Linked DNA regions of Drosophila melanogaster. The gene in region 1 interacts genetically with each later gene. Each region holds a gene or a part of one and is shown on either strand. Other genes may lie near its edges.

Evidence for each region. Genes that interact genetically often act in the same process or in processes that back each other up.
Region 2: of mam (region 1) and klu, changing one enhances a phenotype caused by changing the other (phenotypic enhancement), as found in Drosophila melanogaster (one study listed by BioGRID).
Region 3: of mam (region 1) and fz2, changing one enhances a phenotype caused by changing the other (phenotypic enhancement), as found in Drosophila melanogaster (one study listed by BioGRID).

The regions. Positions count from the first base shown.
Region 1 is NT_033778.4:13,989,527-13,994,291, forward strand, and holds the start of mam (mastermind), read left to right. Parts: upstream 1-1,676; 5' UTR 1,677-1,966; intron 1,967-2,451; 5' UTR 2,452-2,578; intron 2,579-4,765. Other genes in the region: RN-tre (uncharacterized protein), read right to left, coding at 1-98, 159-310.
Region 2 is NT_037436.4:11,006,062-11,011,203, reverse strand, and holds the start of klu (klumpfuss), read left to right. Parts: upstream 1-2,015; 5' UTR 2,016-2,854; intron 2,855-5,142.
Region 3 is NT_037436.4:19,232,247-19,237,215, reverse strand, and holds the start of fz2 (frizzled 2), read left to right. Parts: upstream 1-1,842; 5' UTR 1,843-2,202; exon of another isoform or gene 2,203-2,411; intron 2,412-4,643; 5' UTR 4,644-4,892; intron 4,893-4,969. Other genes in the region: CG33647 (uncharacterized protein), read right to left, coding at 159-338, 405-722, 782-856. UniProt on the Drosophila melanogaster protein: Receptor for Wnt proteins.

The sequences.
Region 1 (4,765 bases):
TCATCCACTTTTTGTCCCGCTCCATTTCAATCTTGTTGCGATGCACCTCCTGGGCATCACGCGTCGACGGCAGCCGCGAGTCGTGCAAGAAGCCATATCTGTGGGAGCATCAATGGCATTATTGGGATTTTTTCTGGCGAATGATTAATATTACTCACTTGTCTGTCCTGTGGTAGATCTCGAAGGTGGGATTCTCCCAGGAGTCCACCACATTGCTGGGATCCAGCCCGAGTTCGTAGCGCCGGAAGATGTCCTCGCGCTCGTCCTCGGCCCGCTTGACCAGCGCCTCCTGCTGTTCGCCGTCAGTCATTTGGAGCAGGATCAGGATTTGGCGGGTGGGGGAGGGGATCGGGGACAGGAGCAGGAGCCGGATCCGGAGGAGCAAGTGGCCAGAGCTGGTTTCTCTGTGCTCTCAGTTGGGGAGCGGCTGCTTCTGAGCTGACTGGGCGATAGCGCGAAACTTTGATAAAAAAAAAATGGAATGGAAAAAATAACACACAAAAGCATTAACATGCGAAAGCGATCCACAATAACAACACTCGTATACTATATAGCTGATGAGCGAATGACGCACACGAACATTAACTATTGTATATATATATATATATATTCAAATGCAGTGAAATCAACATGATCTTTGTTTTTGGAGAAGGAGCGTGGCATAAATGACGTGATGTTTCACCCATATTTAGTGCAGCATCAAAACATAAAGCCATATAAGACTTGGTCACTGATCTAGAAAAACGCCCCCTGATCTGCGTTGTGTGAGTGTGAGTGGGCCAGAAATGTGTGGATCTGCATGCGCCCCCGGGTTTTTGTCGCCTATTTTAATGCGAAATGTGCAATCTTATGCTTTATCGTTCGTACACTTCCTGTTTTCGCTGCGATTTGTTGTATTTTGTCAACACAGACACATACGCACACACGTAACACACACACACACAGACGCTCCGACGAAAGAGAGTGTTCTGGCTTTCACTGGCCACTCTCTCCGCGTTCCTATGGTTGAGTTTAATTAATCGCGCCGACGTTCGTTTACCATTTAATTTTGAATTGCCAATTCTTATTATCCGCACTGATCGGTTATGTTTGGTAACTAGTTTTTCACTATTTTATCTCGGCTGCATGTTTCCGATACATTTGGGGGGCGACTGAGTGTGTGTGAGGGCCAGAGTTGCCAGACTGATGTAATTGCCGAATAACGTAACGTAACAAGAGTACCAGGGATGCGAGCCAATATTTAAGCGATACTTTAGCGTAATGTTATACGAGTTTAAATTTTAGTTGAAATGTTTGTGATGTCAATGTACAAATATGTAAAATGTTTATCTATTTAAAGCTGCAAATGAATGCTCATTTATAAATATTTAACAATGATATTTATTTACTTATTATTTAAAACCTATTCAGTTACTTAATTGCGACAAGTGGCACTTAATGAATTAAAACATTTGTGGAAAACATTTTCACTTCAAAATTTATTTCTTGATAACAAAATCGGCTTTTTAATTCAAATATAATTTTTGTGACTAAATAAGCAGTGCTGCCATACATTCAACTGGAAAACATCGTCAGCAACAGAAGGATAAGTAATCGCTTGATCGATAGCGTTATCGATGTTTTCCCAGCCATCGTTCCACCACTAGCGCCTCTCAAAACAACAAAAAAACAGCGGCAGTCGGACGCGGTTTTTATCATCGAGCGCGGTTTCTTTGTTTTAGCGCTCGAAAATTGTCGAGAACTCTCGTAAAAAATACACTGTACCAAATAACTAAGGAGTGCATGCTAATTGAACAAGCAAATGAATTAAGGTGTATATCAAAGTGAAAAGAAGTCAAACATAACCGATTTTGTTGGCGGCTTTCTTTTATTTTTGTTGAGATACCGTGTTTAATTTCTCCAGTTTTATGCAAACACATGAATAACATAACAGTGGAAATTTCTAAGAGTGCATTGTGAGATAAAAGTAAGCAAATAATTAATATTATGTTTAACATAAAATGCAACCCTCAACAGCGTCCTTTTTAAAGGTGTGCGTTTATATATATATATATATATATATATATATATATATATGTGTGTTTGTGTGTGCGTGTGAGTGATTGTGGATTTTGTGATGCAAAAGAAAATTGCCGCGTGTAAATTTTTGATTTTCAATTCGAGACGAGCAGAGGATTTTTAAACTGCAGCTCTAGCATTTACCGTTAGGGCAAGAGTAAACACATTCAACATGTTGCAGTCACTAAAAACTAAAACAAAAGCAAAGCGGATCACTCTCTTTCTCATTCTCTCATTCGCTCTCTTTGAGTTATAAGTGTTTTTGCCGTGTTTTGTTTTGATTTTTGCACATACACGAAGACATCGAGAGAGGAGAGCGGAGAGTTTCTGCTCTTTTGATTGTTGTTGCATTGGCCAGCTAATAAAATTGTGCCGTTCTTGTTGTTGTTGCAGTTGGATTAAAATTCAAAGCATTGGATAAATGCTAAGTTGAAATAACAACAGTAATAACAAATGGAAAATAGCAAATAGCAAATCAAAGGAAATCAAAATCAAGTTGGATTATCAGCACAGCTTCTGGGTAAGTAAGTTAAGTCTCTTATCGCCTAATTAGTTTATAGCGTTTTAGTTTCGTGTGGGTGGCTTTTTGCATTTCAAAACCAGTTCTATTTCGGGTTTTCATATGCCTTTTTTTCTCTTCTCATGTTGATAAGACCTTGAAGCGCTTTTCGTGTAGAACTTCGCATGATTGATGTTTTTATGTTTGAGGGGAGCTTGAGTCAAAGCTCGGCTTTTAAAAATGGATCAAGACCAGTTTTTCGAGGCTTTGGAATTGCCAAATAATTTCCTAAGCCCAAACTGCAGTTTGTTGTGGTTGTTGCTATTGCTTTTGCTTGCATCGCCTAGAAAATGATGGATGCACACACCTCTCGCTCTACCCTTGCCGTCCCTTTCGCACATCCAGAAGTTGTCGGTTGAGTTTTTATGGCCGTCTCTTTTGTCTCTCCATTTATTTGCCTTTGTCTTTGGACTGATGACTTTGTTTTTGCCCTGTCTTTGATTCTTTCTTTCTCTCTCTCTGCTTCTTCTTCAACGTTGATCCTTTGATTTCGTTTGATCCTTGTAGGTAGAAAAGATTGAGTGTGGGAGAGATCTACCGTTGTTTCGTTACTTCAATCTATAAGATACTAGAATTTTCTTTTTTAAAACCAATTCGAGAAATATTTCAATATATATTTTTGGGGAAAGAAGAATTTTAATTCTTTCGAATATTAAAGAGTTTTTTAAGATTGATTTATAAATTTCTTTTGGATCTTATTATTTGTATTTTGTATACGAAACATTCCATCTTATATTATTATCGTTAGTTTTTTGTAACTCCAAAAATCAAAATAAATATTCAAATAAAGAATTCTGTATTGCCTTTTGTTTTAATGCCATTATGCAATATATGCATTTATTGCTTAAATATTTTTAAAATTATTAACAGCATTCAGCTTATGTCTTTTGAACATTCTCCTTACCAATATCAGATGCATTCCAACCGAAATGCGACGAAGGGCATGCATTTAAACACAATACCTGGCATACTCGACATTTTAAATGCTTTTCATCACTTGATAAACAGTATTATTTGCCTTTCCTTTTTTTTTTTTTACATACATGTATCTCCCTCTGTTCGCCGCCGTTTGTTTTGCCCCCGTCTTCGCATATGTACGTCTTCGAGTGGTCTAACATGTAATGTATGCCTCGTCTTTAGTTTCTTGTTCGTTTCGTCTTTGAGACACCGGAAGTTGTTGCTAGGCTGAAAAAGTTGTGTGTGTTTTTCAGCAGTGTCTCCAGCTGTATCTTTATCTCCCTCTGGAGCCGTATATCCATCTCTATCGACGAGCAAGTGGCGCGTGTGAATGACCCAATTAAGCTGAAGATAACCCGGCCTAAGCTTCGACTTCGTAGGTGGCTTAAAACAACTCGGTTGGCCAAGAAGAAGCAGCCCCAGAACCTGCCAGACGAACATACCTACTATGGCACAACAAAAAAGAGTTCACATCGAATATATCGAATGCGAAGTTTGAACTGTAAACAGGTTTACTTGGCCTCACCTCGCTTCGTCTGCTGCAGTTGGCTGCTACAGGTTTGCCTCCGTATCGCGAACTGCGCGCCATGGAATTTCCTGTATTCATTCATTTTTGAATCCATATAACATAAGCCTTATTTCACTTAAGTTAAAAAACTACAATAAGAAGAAAATAAATGCATACCATTTCAATCTTAAAATTCTTGAAATAAAAAAAATTTCATTCCGGGTGTGAATTTGTGGATTTGATTAAATAAAAAATAACTGTAGTATATATATGTTGATGTTGAAATTTTTAAAAGCTCCTCCATTACTTTCTCCATTTAAGAAACAGGGTAATGTTTTTCTAAGGTCAGCTTATGCAAAGAATAACATATGCAGTAATCCCAGTTTAAGTTATCAACATTTCACTGTACATGGTTTAGTGTGGTGCTTTATTTTGTCAGGCCAAACTCCTTTTCAACATTTTTGTATTAAATATTTCGCACCATGTTCTGCATTTATTCGGATACGAGAGATCTCCCGAGGCTCCAGTCTTCAACTCCATCTCCTTCTGTGCGTCTGCCATCTCTGTTCGACGCTCTAATGCCGTCCTTTTCTGTGGCATATTTTGTCGTTGAGTCAGTTGGGGTCAATGCTGCTGCTCAACTTAACTCTTTGCTCACTCAACTCACTTTGCTCGATGGCCAA
Region 2 (5,142 bases), on another chromosome or scaffold:
AAAATACCGGGTGTATAAAAAATGTCGCCAGCTCGACGAACGACTTAATCAACAAATCAGCGATGTCAACCTGCGGATTGTGTTGGCAGCTGACTTCCCATTTTCCCTTTCTCCCCTCCAATGCCCCATGAAAAAAACACCTTCGCTATCGCTATGGATATATGTATCTCGCCGATCGCCGATCTCCGATCACTTGGCCTACACCATTTTGGTTTCGTTTCTTTTGTCGCCGTCTCATTTTAATCACTCATACATACATACATACATACATCTGCATATGAAATATACGTGCATATGTATAATACCAATAAGCATGTGGCATATAACTTATAGCCAAACACCTACGTTCACTTTTGGCTCTTTGCAGTGCTTCTCTTTTTTGAAAGACCCACGAATTTTGTACGAATCGCGTAAACGCGTTTATTTTCCCTGCCCACAATCACACACACACACACTTAGAGATAGTGGTGTGGGTTGAGTATCTGCGTGTGCGTGTGTGTGTGAGTGCGCCACTATTCGTTCATTCACAAATTGTGTTGTTGCTGCCTTGGCATGCTTTTGCTTTGTTTTTTCTTTTTTTTGGTTTTTTCTCAATTCAGTTTTGTTTTGTAAACACACACATACACACCTGGATGGAGGCGCACACAGATACACTGACACCTCGGCAGCTGCGCCACACACACAACCGCACACACGGTGTGCAAAGAGAGAGAGAGCGCGCTCTCTCTCTCTCTCGTGCATCGGCATTTCAAGTTCAGATATCGTATCTGTGAAGTTGTTTTGCCGGCATTTCGATTCTCACGAGCGCAGAGAGAGAGACCGAAACTGTATCTGTGTGCGAGCGAAACGTGTGTGTGGTATAGGTGAGAGAGTTTATCCGACGATTTTATCCGGGCCTTCAATGCGGCTCAAAATCAGTCAACTGCGATTTTCTTATAATGCAAGTTGGCTTATATGCATGTTAGACAAAAATAACTTCATGGGTACAAATGAAAGTCTAAAATTAAACAAATATATATTTTAGATCATTTTGTAGCGCTTTAATTTTTTTGCGAAGTTAAACAAAAAAGAGTTCCAATTAAGAATATTATATTATTTTTAAAAGAAAATAAGTTCAAAGCCAAGAATTATTAAAAACTAGACTAATTAAATTTCAATCAAAAAGTATTGAATTTACATTTTTGCTTTAGAGAATGTTTGAGTTTTAAACTGTAACTAAAAACGCTGCTATTACTATTTGTAAAACATTTTAATAAATTATATATTTGAAATTGTTTTGTAATTGTTTCTAAGATTAGAAGGCCCTTAAAGTCGATAAAGTACTAAACGCATAAATCAAAATTTTTTGGCTTCTGAGCAATGTAAGTTTAGTTTAGTTTAGAACTCAAATGAAAATGAAATGCTGTATTAAGAAGAAAGGGCTCAATTAAGTGACATATATTGCTCGAAGGATGCGAAAAGTGACCTAAAAGCCGGCCAACTTCCCAAAGGATTCAACGAGCGCTGCTTCTATTTGCCTTCGCCTTCTGCAAGACAGTGGAAAAGACATCCGCTTGGATTCGGATTTCGTTAGCTTATCTTCGCATTCGATGTTATATAACGCCAGTCGGTGGAAGTGGGAGGTGCCTATTCGGAGCTCGACTCGCAACTGGCGACCCAAAAGCGCCAAATGCAGCCGAGTGCCCCCATTGGCATAGAGTTTTGAGCAATTAGAAGCCCACGCAGCCATAAACAACAACTGCTCGGGCGGGCGGAGAGTGGGAGGAGAAGCTCTTCGAGCAGCTCCCACCGAGAAAAGCGGAACACAAAAAAAAAAAAAAGAACTAGAGAAATCTCCACTGCACGTGCTGCTCTTTCTCGCTCTCTCGCGACTTTATCCGGCGAATGAGAGGCCAACAGTCGGCACTAACACACAGATACCGCCGCCTGTTTGCCTCGGTGTGGGTGTCTCTCGGTGCGATGGTATTGGTGCCTGGTATCGTCGCTGTACGAGTGGCGACTCTACTCAGAAGTCAGTTTCTTGCTGGGCAGTGTCGGTTCAGGTTCATCGACGCTCCGCACGCGCTGCCGCAAATTCTTCAGTGCTGAATAACCAAGACGCGTCTTTTTCGGACCCAAAAAAAAAGAAAAATATATAGAAAATATATCCGAACGTAACGTAATCTTCGCAGTGCGCTTACAGACTCCCCCTCCAACCCGCCACACAAAAAACTCTCTTTCTCTCTCTCTCCGCGAAGAGAGTTTCAGTGGTTGGTTTGGATAGGTCTTGGTGGTTCGGTGTTGCCGTCGCTGCTGCCGAAGCTCTGCCGACGCCGACGACGACGCCACGTCGGGAAAACCAACCTCTTGCAGTGAAAATCTTTTCGTACGTTTTCGTTATTTGTTATTCGCACGTTGACGCGACGAGACCGCGAAACACGACAGCACGAAACTGCAGCCCAAAACTGCAACTGCAACTGCAACTGCAACAATAACGATCGCGCGTGCAACAACAGCAATTCGAAATCTAATAGTGGCAAGCTGCAAAGTATCTAAACGCCTAGAAATCCGTAAACTAAACTCGCCAAATCATTTAAAATCAAGTGAAAAGTGTGTGTCTTAACAGCCCATTAAGTAATATAAATCAATTAAAGCCGCAAAACACACAATAAGCCAAACACGCAAACGCAGCATAAGCACAAATAATACATAAAAATAAAAGAAGTGTGATATTTTGATATTAGCAATTAGAGTTTACACAACGCAGCCTAAAAAATATTTGTTAAATGTGTTTTGCCACCCCGAAGGCAAAAGCTACAAATTGGATAATGCTTGGATAATTCCCCTCCTACAAAAAAAAAAAAAAAAATTAAAGGTGAGTTCGCGAGATCGCTCAATTTGCCGACGGCTTAGTCATTTGGACAGCCGAAAGAAAAAAAACTATAAAGTGCCATCTCAGCTGTGCTGTTTGGTTGGTCGAAATGTGTCAAAAGCTGAGCTCCAGTTACGAATAGGATCGGTTTACCATAACACTCAGCGTAATATCAGATCGGCGGCTATATGCTATATACATATGTACATATGTATGTGTGTGCTGCAATCGATTGCACCCATGAATGATGGACTGATGATGAGTCCATATCAGCACGGGCCCCCTCCAGTGGCATCATCCACATCATCATCATCATCATCATCATCATCATCCCAATCTCATCTCACTCCCATGCCATATTGACTCTATCTATATTGACGTCAATCGCAGCAGCAACTTGACATCGCCGATCTGCAGATCGTGTGCCTGGCAAATTGACGCACACAAAAGCGAGTGAGATAGAGAGCCTGGTAGAAAGATAGTACTAGGACCCTTAGCCCCAGTTTCCTCACATCCAGTTGCAGCTCCAGATTCCCACTTCCAGTTTTAGCCAGTCTCGGGGAATTTTAATTGCCCATCTTGGCCAAAAGCAGAGCTGGGCTGCACTCCCTCTCTCTATCTCTCTCTCTCTCTCTCTCTATGTGAACTATGCCAATTGTCTACACCTGAGCCGAAGAACTGCCCGTCTGGCTGACAAATTTGTATGCACGCGCTTCAAAAGTGCAATATTAATTAATTCCAGCAACTCGAGACACGGGCAGCAACAACATCAACTGATCTGTATGCAACAGAAGTTGCAAGTTGCTAGTTGCTAGTTGCTTGTTGCAAGTTGCTGGTTGCTAGCGGTTGCTACTTAGTCGAGGCAATTAAATCGTATGTCATTCATTGGTAATTTATACCATTTACAGGCATCTGCTCGATGTGGTTGGTTCCTTAAACAACAGTTCTGCGATAATAGCTCCGCGATGTTTTACACTTGCCCATTAGCATAGATTACTGCATCAAGTGCTGGACCAAAATCCGTTTGCTTTGCTTTTGACCTGTCTGGCAAACGCCAAACGCCAATAGCCACAACGCTTGATCGATCGCTCTAAACCGATTTCGATTCCGATCCGATCCGATCCGATCGGCGATAAATGCAACTTGCCATGAAAAGTGCTGCCTTAAATGGGCATTAGGCTATTGCACATTTCTCAATATGTCGAGTGATTTTTTCTCTGCTCCTCCAACGCGGCTGACTTATACGCACCGCACCTTATATGACGAACGGCGACGTCTGCCGCTGTCCCACTGCATTTGGCATATAAAACAGACGGAGCCACTCGGTGGCTTCCATCGGTGGTGCAGTTGGGGGGCAATGGTGGCGATGGTGTCTCAGGTGGTTCGCTGGTTGGAGTCTCACCCGCACGACGCCATTTCTCAGACCCCGATGTCAATGGCAATTTGCATTTTCCACACAAAAGCACCTAGGTGCTCCTGGTGGCGGCTCCCTTCCCTAGAAACAGGGCGGAATAAAAAAAAAAAAAGAAAATAACGCCATATATACTGTGTTTGGTCGAGTTAAGGTCCCTGGTTCAGTGGTTAATTTATTTCTGACACAGCCTTAAATTAACAATTTTAATACAAACAACAAAAGAGCGCGCATTGAAATTGAGACGTTGAGCGAAATACAAAAAAAAAACACAAAAAAACTCAGAAAAAATACAAAATAAAATAAAAAACAGTGAAAATGCACACAATAAAGGGAAAAAAAACAAAAAGCTTAAAAGGAAAAAACATAAAATAAATTTACAGCAAAACAAAAGCGTGTTACAGAACAAAGGAGACGATTTTGGGGAGCAGTGAAAGAGGAATGTGTAAAGTGAAATAAAATTCTGGCGCGTTAATTAACTTTAAACGATTGAAAACGAATTGATTTGGAGAAGCCATTTGATTTGGATTAGTCGTGCCCGATTCAGAAAAAATGCCACAAAAGGTTGTGGAGGTGGACCCCCAGCTCAAAGGGGTCACAGCTTTTGGCCAAGCTGCTGGGCTGAAAATTAAAATTCAATCATCACGTGTGCGTTAAAAGAGACACACCATCGGCCATCTAACAATCAGACAGATCATTGGAGTTGTTAATTGAAATGCGTTAAACAATAAAACAAAGACTGTCATGTCTGTCACAGTTGCCAAGTGACTTAACACCTTTGGGATCTGCGGTTAATGCCGATCCCCGACAACGGTGTGGATACTTCGACATCTGATAGGGCCACATCGGAATCGGAACCCTGGACATGCGTCGTTATCAT
Region 3 (4,969 bases), on another chromosome or scaffold:
ATAAGCTTTTAGTTACAAAAGTGGACGATTTCAACTAAACGATTATTTTTAGTAGCTTATTTATAGCTTTAATTCTCTGTAAATATGTATAACAAAAATATTGTAAGTAAAAAAAATCCATTTATTTTGCAATTACACATTTTGATTTATATAGTGATCTATTCGGTTTTAATATAATTTCGCCGAAGTATTCTAGAAAAGCGACCTTTAATAAGCAACCGAAATACTTTGCGATCCTTAACGCTTAAATGGGCGTCCGAAATGAAGTTCGTTTCTGGCATATAGCTGGGTATAAATTTCGAGTTAACTGTAAATCCCTTTGCGTAATACCGTTTATTCTAAAACACAATTTCCAAAATACGATATTAGAGAGTTTTATACAATTTCTTACCAGTGTTAATTACCATTTTCAACGGACATTGTATAGGAAAATTGGCGGTTTCGCGAAGCTGCGTAGTAACCATTCTAAATAAAAAATGATTTTCCACACTTGATAGCATCTGACAATAGTCTACATGTGAAGAGGTAAAATTCGTCACGTATGAACCTCTCTTAAATGTCAAAATGTAAATGCCCTTCAGGTCCTCAACATCTTGGGTTAATATGAACTCTGCGTATATTGAACCAGTGGGGTGGGAAGTTTCATTTAAGTAGCAGCTTACGTTTCTCACCAATTCTGGCATATAATTGAGGCACTCAATTTTCGTCATAAAAACTTCTTTCTATACGTTGAGATAGGTTAATGTAGTAGGACTTACATATATGATTCTATACTACTGACCTCTGCACGAACACTGCTCAAGATTAGGGTCCCCAGAATCAGGTCAACCAATATAAAAAGCTTTTTGACGTTCATACTAGTGGATAACTAATTGAAGACTAAAATCTAATGCATTTCAAACGCACGTAGGTGTGTATATTTTAAAATAAATGGGTTTTTAATGTGCTCAATTAGTGTATTACCTAATTTGTAATTGCTTATTTTTGTTGATAGAACATTAATATCGGTAAATTATTTGGACTTTTCAAGTTGGAGATGCGCAAAGTACTAATAGTATAAAATAATACTATAAAATTATTATATTATAATATATTATAATATTATATTATAATAATTAATACGGATTAGAGTGGGAGATCTGAAACAAATTTGCACGAATATGAAGCATTTAGAATCAGCTTAATAATAGTTTTCTAGTAATAACATATTGAAATAATTTGTATTCTTAAAAAAGAAAAACGGGTTTAAGATGAGTGATGATTTAGCTAGAACTTATACGTTTTCTTTATTTTACTGCGAACGCGATTTTACTGAATATAATTTCTATCAAAGCCCTTGAAGTAATTATCTTGATACCTATTAATTCTTCTTTAAATGGGCTATCCATACTATTACGCATTTATATTTAATTTATTTTTGATTTCTATGACTAATTTCTTGGTTAGATTCAGGACGATTTCATCATATTTTGAATAAGTGGTGCGAAATTACTTTTTTATTGGTCCATTCGACCAGTCTAGCATACAAAATATTTTCGTTAATAACATTGCATAAATTTATAGCTCTAATATATTTTATAATGACTTATTTATTTTGCAGAAACTTGTTTCAAAAAATTAACGTTTGGTGATTCGTTTGGTGATTACGTTACGTGATTCCGGGCAGGCCTTACGTTTCACGTAGCTCTGTTCCGTTTACCAAATCGTTTCGCGAGCTTTTTGGACCGGCGCATTTGTAATTCCATCTCTCTATTTTTCCTCCCCCGCATTTCTTAATCGTTATCGCTCTCTCTCTGCGAATTTTGCAAAACAACGGCCGGCCGTTTGGAAAAGTCGGAAGAAAGTCAGTTGGCAAGTGGAAATCACCGGAAAAACTACACAGCGCGGCAGAAGGAAAAACGTGAAAATCGCAGACGCTTACACCGCAGACGGGAAATAAAAAAAGCCAAAAAGCAGCCGCGAAAGGCAGCGCAGTCGACGTTGGCAGCGCCGAGGGCTGATAACAATAGTTAATAACAATAACAAAGCGGAATAAAAACAAAAGAGAGAAGCACATGAAAAGATAATATGTAAAAACCGAAACAAACAAAAAATCGCGCGTTTAATTAACGGACATACGACGTGAGCAGCGCGGTCGACGCCGCAGTCGCAGTTGGCGTCGCAGTCGCCGTCGCGCATTGGTGTGTGTTTGTGTGAGTGTGCGTGAGTATCTGTGTGAGCTGGAGATATAAAACTGCAATTGATTGCAATTTCGGCGGCATTTGCAAAATAGCAAGCCGGCGAAGAACACAAAACCGAGAAATCGAGAGATCTGCAAATAAAATATACAAACAAATAAAAATATATTAGTAATAAACTTATACAAAAACACAACAAATATAAAATCAGCACAACAAAAACACAGCCAAACGGTAAAGATACGAAAAAGCTAACTCATTTGTGTATCTAAAATAATAACAAAAAGCAATTCGAAAATGAGTACTTCTTGCATTTGTGTGAGCGCAGCTGTTGATGAAAGTGAAGGAAAATCATTCACATTTTCTACGGGAAAATGGGAAAGACAACAACAGCCACACACTCACACAGCTGCAAAAGAAAAGAGAGCACAGAGAGCTAAACTCAGACGACGCCAAGTTCTTTTTTTCCGCTTTTCCGTTGTTTGCATTTTATTTTTGTTTTCTGTTGTGTTTTTCGCACACAGGGAGGAAAACTCAGCCACTTATAAGTTTAAATTTTGAGTGTACACATCTTGTTTCAGTTGTTGTTTGTTTAAGAACATAAACTTTTTATAAATTCAAATGTTAAACGTAGATATTTCGACGTAGCTTTAAAGGACTAAATACTCTTTATATTGCTTTTTTTGCCCAGAATATAAAAGAATATATTTAACTTTACATAAGCTTATATTTCCAACAACGCTAAAAATACACTTTTTAACTTGTTGATTTCTTGACCATTTTTGTTAAAGTTTTTCGGAATTTCACATTTTTTTTATAAATGTAAGTTCGAATATTTATTTCTTTTTCCTTATTACACCTTATTACACTTTATTAAAGTTCATTCAAGTTCATTAACAAAGACAATATTATTTTTAATTAAAGTCTAAATTTGAACGATTTTTTTTGCATTTGTGGAATAATGTTGAAAACAATAAGATTGTTGTAAATAATCAATAAAGAATTGATCCAAGACAGGTCAATTTTTTTCTGTGTACATTTACGAGTCGAGTTCACAAGCCAGACAGCACTGTTGCTTTTGCTGCTGTTTTTGTGAGAGTATCTCATAGCTAGCTACCTAGCTGCAAAAAGTATCTAGATACTTTTGCCGAGTTTCCTACTCTTTTATCCGGCTGTCTGTTTATTGAGACGCGTCTTCAAGTTTTTTCCCCACATCATTGCATTCTTTAATTCCCTACATTTTAAATAGGAGCAGTTTCAGATGTTTCGAAATATTTATAAATATTTTCTTGCACTCGCATGTTGGCCGGCAGTCAAAGTAACACTCAACTTCAACTTCTGTCTGCGCACTCTAATTGAGTTAGTCTGGCATTTCAATGGGAGCAGCAAGCACACGCACCGCTTCTGGTCGAAAGGGGCGGAATGGTATTAGCAAGAAATGGGGGCGGGGCCGGGCTCCAGACTCAGCGGGTGGGAAATCCGGGGGGTGGCTCTTGCAGGGGTCACAGCCTAACCCGTGTGTTAAATTATGCAAAACGCTAAGGGAATGTCGAAGCAATAAGTGCAGAAATGTTTACATTCTCTGGCCAACGAAGAATATTATTCATATTTGCGTTTGGGTTAAATAAATAGGAAATTTGGTCATTTTGGTTAATTATTTTCCTAAATAATAATTAATTTTTGTTTCTTGTTATTTCTAATTATGCAATATTTATTTAGTTCTTTGAAGTAATGATTAAACCCAATCTTAATTTTAATTTCCCTCTACTTCCTTCTGATTGAGTGTATTAAATATTTCACTGAAATATTTTTCTTTTTCATTAATGCAAATGGCTTTTGAACTATTCCACACACCCACTGGTGTCTCATTTATATCTTCGCAAAGCACATTCATAAAAAAGGAACCTACAATTTCGCTCCAAACAACTTTTTTATCATAGCCCGGCTTACACGTACGAACACATATATTTTTGGGTATTTTAAAGGGTTAACACACGCTATACGACTGCCAAACTTTTCCACGTTGGCTTTTTGTGCTGGTCCTTTTATTTTGTGAAAATGTTTGGCATTTTTTGTATTAAATTGTCAGTGAAACGAGCGTTGGACCGTTTCCGAGGGGCATGGCAACAATTCAAAACGTGAACTGCCACTAAAACATGCCAAAAATCTGCGCATTTAAAATATTTGCCCCAGAGCCCATTGAGATCCAGCCAAGCGATGGATGGGCGGCGGAAGGGGAAAAGAGGAAAAATGCAGGCATTTTCCTGCGATTTGATTTAGTTGTTGTTGGCCGGGTTACACCTTTTCACTCACACCTGTCGTCTGTGTTTTTCTATTTTCAATTTTTTTTTCAGCAAACTACACGTCTGCGTTTTGGTTGCCCCCTGCAAGTCCTTTGTTTTCTATTTAATAGCTGTTTTAGCCACTTGCACGTGATCAACAATTAATTGGCAATATCTTTTTCAGGTTCGTCAAATCAAGCGGATCTCTCCAGCCAAAATAATCAGCAATCTGATGTAGCAAACGCCTATATATAGAATATACGAAAATGCAACCATTCCGTTCCGCGCCGTGCTAATGCAAACGTATACGATCCGAAACCGATAAATATAGAAATACAATAAACCCAAGTGAAATAGCAATTTTAAACGCCAATAAAAACAAAATATACCAATTACACTGCCCAAGAGAACATCAAAGGAACTCATTTTGGAGGTGAGTTATAACAACCATTAAACAATTATATGTCTATTATAAGGTATAAAATATGAAATAATAAAAAAGAGATTGCA